Coturnix japonica: one gene and its partner. The protein of the gene in region 2 interacts with the protein of the main gene of each other region in a pairwise test. Links are inferred from orthologs where the notes say so. Each region holds a gene or a part of one and is shown on either strand. Other genes may lie near its edges.

Region 1 (4,234 bases), on a different chromosome or scaffold from region 2:
GTTCCCATTAATAGGGCACCCTGGTGAAAGCTGTAGAAGCCTATGGAGGGCAAGAAAGGAGCTTTGGGTACCATCTCATTGGTAAAGGAAGGAAACAAGGAGAAGTCTGGTATGGGTCAGACAACAGGCAGCAATGGAAAAGCCTGCAGCTCTTTGGGGTTGGGACCACTGCTGAGCCAAACCAGCATGCTCAGCCCTATGGGGACAGAACCCAGAGCTCTCCTCACCTTTTTCAGGTAGCACGCAGCCCGGTTGCGGTACAGCACAGCCTGCAGTGCCCTGTCCTTGTTGAGCTTCATGGCCTGTGTGTAGCTCTGAGCTGCTCTCTCATAGTCGCTGGCTTGAAAATATTTGTTGCCTTCCTCCTTCAGCTGGATGGGATCCTCCATCTGGGGAGCAGAGGGGAGAAAAAAAACAACAACACACATTTTAGGCTGCTGGGGAGTTTTAAGGAAAAACATGAAATTTGTGCCCCTTCTGTTTTGGTCTGCCTGCCGAATAACCCTGAACAAAAGCACCTTACCAGGTTGAAGTGCTCAGCCAAACTGCTCCTCAAGGCTGTGGCTTCTCAGCTGTAAACCCACACAGCTACAGATCCGTAGTGACCAATGAATAGAGGTAAAATAACAGAAAAGAGCTCAGAGAGTCCAGACGGCTCAGGGAAGAGCTCACCTCCCACTCCAAGTTTGGGCAAGAGCTGGCAGCTCCTGCTGCGTGTCACTGTCACCTGTCAGCACTGCCTGTACCCTGTGCTATATGGGGCTGGGGGCCACCGCCACCCAGTGTGGGGGGAGACACTGTGTAAAGGCACACAGCTCTGGGCACAAAGAGGGGATGCTGCTCTCCCACTCACTGCATGGATCGCTGTTATCCATGACCTGCAGAGCTGCATGGGGAATGGAGTGGGAATGGGAGGGCTGTGTGCCATACACAAATCAGTTCACATGGTTGACCCCCGTCCTAGTGCTCAGAGCCTTGTCCCTTTCTATTTAGGGAGGCATGAGACAGCTGCACAGGGACAAGTGGCTCTGTCTGACAGCTGCCAGCACCTTCCAGAACAGCCGTGGAGGGAAAGCACCAGAACCTCCTTTCCTGCATTGCTTCAGCTTAGGTTTAGTGGGTTGTTAGAGTTAGAGTAGTGTGGTCAGGTTGTGGTTGGACTATATGACCTTGAAGGTCTTTCCCACCCTGAGCTATGCTATAGATCTGTGATTACTGAAGAACATCTACTGTACCGTACAGTACCCTATCCCATCCTACACCTTTAATTCCAACATTTATAGACGCTGGAGCATTGCTGACAACTGCACTGATGGCCATTTAGACCAGGCTGGTGCATAGCATCCCCTACAGACACAGACCAGCTCCCAGCTGTGATTTCCTTCCTATCCAGAAGCAGTGTCACGTTTTTTGGAGGCATCCTTAGGGGTGAGCAGACCGCTAGGGGGGGTGCGGAGCCCGGCAGCCCTTCCGCAGCCCGCAGGAAGCAGGAAGGGGGTTGCTATGGGATGAGGTTCGGTACCGGTGGCACTTTGGGGACCCTTCGGCCACCCGTAGGTGCGGGATACGCGTGGGGCTGCTGGGGAGGGCTCGCTCCGTGGGCACAGTGATGGTTACGTGTGTGCTTTGGGTGGCACTAAAGGCATGGTTGGATGGGGGTGCTGCGGGATGTATGTCCCCACGGTACACCGTGGTACCCCGTGGGTGCCCATCCCATCTCCCAACAGGTCTCTCTGCTTCCATCCCTGCAGCTCCCTGTCCCACGGTGCCATGGTGGTCCTGCGGGCCGGGCTGTGCCCTGGTCTCACTGAAGAGATGATCCAAGTTCTCAAGGCAAACAACATCAGGACGGGTAACTTGGTGGGGGATGTTGGCTCCTGCCCCTTTGGGGTATCACTGCACATTCCAGCCGTGTATTCCCCATCTGCTGTGCTTGTGGTCAGCATCCAGCTTCTTGTTTCTGTGTCATTCATAGTGGTGGACTTTGTGTCATCGGACCTAGAGGACGTTGCCCAGAACTGTTCCCTGTCTTACAAGGTACTGGGTTATCCCTGAATCCTCCCTAAACCGGGCACTCACAGCTGCTCAGCTCCCTGCTTGGATGGGCTTTGCTGGGGGCCCTTCTGCAGGGCACATTGGTGGCCGTGGGTTTTCTTAGTCCCTCTATAAACTGTCCAACAGGCGCTGGTGGCTGTGCGCAGGGTGCTGCTGGCCCAGTTCTCAGCTTTCCCCACCAACGGAGCAGATCTCTACGAGGAGCTCAAGAGCTCCACTGCCATCCTGCCGACCGGCAACCCCAGGTGGGTGCCCAGTGAGCTGTAACATGGTGATGCTCCCAGTGCACTCAGCGTTGTCCCATTTGTCTCCAGCTCTTGTCACCAACCCCAGCCTGGCTGTGCCCATTGAGAGCAGAGGTGACTTTTCATGTCATGTGGCTGTAAAGTCAGCTGGTCTCTGTCCCTTGAGGGGTGACACCGCTGTTGTTGTCCTTGCAAGAGCCTGCACATGTCTTAGAACTGACTGTATGTCTCAGTTCTAGACTAGAGAATGTGCTGCCCTCAGTCTTTCCCTTGTAAAGAAGATTATGGATCTGGGAAGGTTTGGAGTGATGAGTTCCCAAGGCTGGGCAAGGAGATCAGTTGCCCTTTGTTGCCCAGGCTTATTTCTCTTCCCTCAGTCTCCTTGTTGGCTTGTTACAGTGGGGTTGCAGAGAAACCCCAGATATTCAAACCTGGCTCCCGGGCTCTTTCCCATCTCAGCATAGTGCTCTTATACTGCAGAGCTGCTGCAGCCCATGGTGTAGAGAGAGTTAGGGTAGGAGGGTGGGAGCAGAGCCCAAGGCTTCTGCCTTTGGGAAGTGGATGGTAAGGGCTGGTATGTGGGAGCACTGTCCCCTTTCCATGCGATGCACATTGAGCATCCTGCCTTGTGCTCACCCAACAGCTTGGACCAGCTGCTGGATGCAGGGCTGTACACCGGGGAGGTGACGGAGCTGGCAGGAGCACCAGGCAGTGGGAAGACACAGGTGAGTGGAGCAGGGGGTGACCTGGCCTGGGGCTGGGGACACCAAGGGCTCTTACTGTGCCACGAGTGGGCAGCTGATGCCTGATCCATGCTGCTCCAGGTGTGCCTCAGCATCACGGCCAGCGTGTCCCTTGGCCTCAGGCAGCACGTCTTCTTCCTTGACTCCACGGGGGGGTTCACTGCCTCCCGCCTCTACCAGATGCTCCAGGCCCGGGTGGAGGACAAGGAAGAGCAGGTGAGTTCTGTGTTTTTCCTGCTCGTGTGGGCATCAGCCCACCTATGTCCTCATGGGCTGTGCTGGGTCCATTCCTACTGAGACTGGGTGCTAATGAGAATGGGGGAGTCTGGTGTGGTCCCTCACCCACTGATCCTGTGCTGCTGCCACAGCTGGGGGACAGTGGTGTTCATGGGGTGGGGGTAGATGCAGGAGAAATGAAGGTCCCTGGCTCCATAGTGTGGGCAGGAGGGATGTGGGCGTGCAGTGCATGCAGTGCACATCACAGGGTGACACTGCTCTGTGTCACAGCTTGAGGCCCTGCAGCGGGTGCAGGTGGTCCGTGTGTTCGACATCTACGAGATGCTGCGTGCCCTGCATGAGGTGCGGGACTGCCTATCCCAGCAGGTAAGGCCTCCAAGTCCTTCTCCTTGATGAGCATCACCCCATCCCAGGGATATCCAAACCTCAGTGCAGCTTTAACACCTCCAAAAAACATTGCTCATTATTGCATGGTTGATTTTGTTCTGCAGGTGGAGAGCTCGGCTGGGCCGCTCAAGGCAGTGCTCATTGATTCAGTGTCAGCCGTGCTGTCCCCGCTGCCGGGCGGCCGGCAGTCGGAGGGTGAGCCCTGAGCTGCTCTGTGGGGTGGGGGGTTGATGGCAATGTGGTGGAATTGGTGTGAAGGTGCTTATGAGCACCGTATCTAAGGCTCACACAAGTCCAGCGTCACCAATGGGTTGGTGGGGGTGGGTCAATGGTTGGACTTCATATTCTTAGAGGTGTGCTGACATGAGTGATTCTGTGTTTGTACCTCTGGGGGCTGCTCCCTCTGTTTGTGTTGAGCCCCCCAATGCCTGCTCTGCCTCCAGGCTTGGCCATCATGATGCAGCTTGCACGGGAGCTGAAGACGTTGGCCAAGGAGTTCAGCGTGGCAGTGGTGGTGAGTGCTGCTGTCTGTGGGCCTTCCTGACGTGGTTTAGGGGCCCCTGGTGC
Region 2 (2,219 bases):
AGAGCTCCCTCTGTGCCCACAGGGCTGAAAGCAAAAGAAAAAGGGTTTTTGCCCCCAGACCTGTGTTGTTGTGGGGGTTTCTCACTCTGCGGCTCCTGCCCATCCTCTGTGGGTTTGCGGAGCCCTGTTGGCAGTGCAGGACGGGTCCTGAGCCTGGGCAGTGTTTCACCAGCATCTGCCTTTCTTTTCCTCATTCCACGAATATCTCACCCCCGCCCATCACTTCCTCCTCTCCAGCTGGAAACGGAGATCCAGCGCATCTCAGAGGATTACGAAAACCTCATGAAGGCATCCTCCAAGAGGGAGGCACTGGAGAAAGCCATGAGGGCCAAAAGAGATGGGGAGATGCGGCGGCTGCAGGACTTCAACCGAGACCTGAAAGGTGAGAGTAGCTGTGGTCCACAGCTCCATTGGGTGGCTCCCGTGCCCCAGTTCCCAGTTCCAGACCCTTCCTCTCCCCTATTCCTGCAGGCCCTCTCTGTCCATCAGCCTTTCCCCAGTATTCTTCTTTTTAGCAGTTTTATTAGTCGGAGTGTTTTCACAGGTGGGAGGGGGTAGGCGGATTCATCTGTCCAAAACAGCCTTTTTAAATCTCATTTCTTTTATTTGTGTTTTTGCACCAGAACGCTTGGAATCGGCCAACAAGCAGCTGGCCAGCAAGACCCAGGAGAACCAGGAGAGCAACCAGGGCACGGTGGCAAAGCTCCTAGCGCAGAGTAAGTCCCCAGGGGTTCGGCTTTGCCTGATTTGCCACAGCAGGGACTCAGTGCAGAAGCCTTTATGTTGGATGAAGAGGTGGGGGGGGGGTAGAGAGGAGCTTTTTGCCCTTCCCCAGGGATGGCTGTGCTGCTCCGGGCGCTGGATGCAAGCCATTAATCCCGGCCGGCCGGCGGGGTGACCTGCATTCTCCACATTCCTGCTGCCGTGTGCAGGCTCTTCCAGCACAAAGTCCGCACTCCCTCGCTGTGCTTGCCCAGCCCTTCCGTGCTTCTCTCCTGTGCAAGCTGGAATTTCTTTTCTTGGGGGAGAAATACGGCAAGATCCATAGCTCTTTATTTTTCCTAAATGCTATTTCATCAGAGAGCTGGCGTTGGTATCGTGGGGGAGGAATCGTGTCACAGTCCTTACATCAACAGCTAGGTGTAACCTAGGATGGATTTTCTCATCTCAGGCCACATTTTTGGCTGGAATTTGCCAAAATGAGGCTTTCTATGGCAGCAAGTGTCCATGGTGGTGTCATGTCCATCAGGGCACGGCCATGCTCTGAAATGTGTGCTGCAGGGTTGCCCTTGGCCCCAGTGCACCTCATGTGCTGGCTGAGGGCTGCTGACACCACACAGCTGAGTGGAGACCTGTGGGCACAGCCTCTTTTTTTGGCCGGGGGGCTCCGTGGGCCTTTTAACCCCCCTGCACTGTGTCTCCGAGTCTTAGACAGATGTTCTTTTGCAGGCTATGAGCACCAACAGGAGAAGGAGAAGCTGGAGCGGGAAGCCTCGCTGCTGCGCAGCGCCAACGAGGACCAGCGCCGGCGGGCAGAGCTGCTGGAACAGGCGCTGGGCAGTGCCCAGGCACGGGCAGCCAAGGCAGAGGCCGAGCTGCGGAAGAAGCGGGCGTATGTGGAGAAGGTGGAGCGGCTGCAGGCAGCCCTGGGTCAGCTCCAGGCTGCCTGTGAGAAGCGGGAGCAGCTGGAGCTGCGGCTGCGCACCCGGCTGGAGCAGGAGCTGAAGATGCTGCGGGCTCAGCAGGTAAAGGACATCCTGGGGACTGTGAGGTGGGAGGGGCCAGTGATCTGCATCCCAGCATCTCCTCACCTTCTCTCTGGGTCATTTCTTGGCTGCTGCAGAGGCAAGTGGGAACCACAGGTGGAGGGACGCCCGAGCTGAGTGCCCATAGACTGTCTGAGCAGCTGAGGGAGAAGGAGGAGAAGATCTTGGCCCTGGAAGCTGACATGACCAAGTGGGAGCAGAAGTACCTGGAGGAATGCACCATGAGGCAGTTTGCCATGGATGCTGCCGCCACTGCTGCTGCCCAGCGGGACACCACCCTCATCAGCCACTCACCACGGCACTCACCCAACAGCAGCTTCAACGAGGACCTCCTGCTGGCCAACCACAAGCACCAGGAGATGGAGAGCAGGTACCCCACCTTCCCTGTGAGCCACTTGTTGGGTGCTGCGAGCATCCTCAGTGGTCCGAGTGACTCCATTGAAGTTTATGGCT

What was found. The genes of interacting proteins can lie anywhere in the genome.
Region 1: the proteins of AMOTL2 (region 2) and RAD51D interact in binary tests that used the Homo sapiens proteins (3 or more experiments, as listed by UniProt). The two-hybrid records come from large-scale screens. The link is inferred for Coturnix japonica from reciprocal best matches to the Homo sapiens genes AMOTL2 and RAD51D.

What each region holds. Positions count from the first base shown.
Region 1 is NC_029534.1:3,364,944-3,369,177, forward strand, and holds the start of RAD51D (DNA repair protein RAD51 homolog 4), read left to right. Parts: upstream 1-1,434; 5' UTR 1,435-1,557; intron 1,558-1,751; 5' UTR 1,752-1,770; coding exon 1,771-1,852; intron 1,853-1,975; coding exon 1,976-2,037; intron 2,038-2,181; coding exon 2,182-2,300; intron 2,301-2,943; coding exon 2,944-3,025; intron 3,026-3,124; coding exon 3,125-3,259; intron 3,260-3,550; coding exon 3,551-3,646; intron 3,647-3,771; coding exon 3,772-3,862; intron 3,863-4,110; coding exon 4,111-4,181; intron 4,182-4,234. Other genes in the region: UNC45B (protein unc-45 homolog B), read right to left, coding at 228-389. UniProt on the Homo sapiens protein: Involved in the homologous recombination repair (HRR) pathway of double-stranded DNA breaks arising during DNA replication or induced by DNA-damaging agents. Bind to single-stranded DNA (ssDNA) and has DNA-dependent ATPase activity.
Region 2 is NC_029524.1:3,381,917-3,384,135, forward strand, and holds part of AMOTL2 (angiomotin-like protein 2), read left to right. Parts: intron 1-237; coding exon 238-382; intron 383-623; coding exon 624-716; intron 717-1,449; coding exon 1,450-1,745; intron 1,746-1,843; coding exon 1,844-2,136; intron 2,137-2,219. UniProt on the Homo sapiens protein: Regulates the translocation of phosphorylated SRC to peripheral cell-matrix adhesion sites. Required for proper architecture of actin filaments.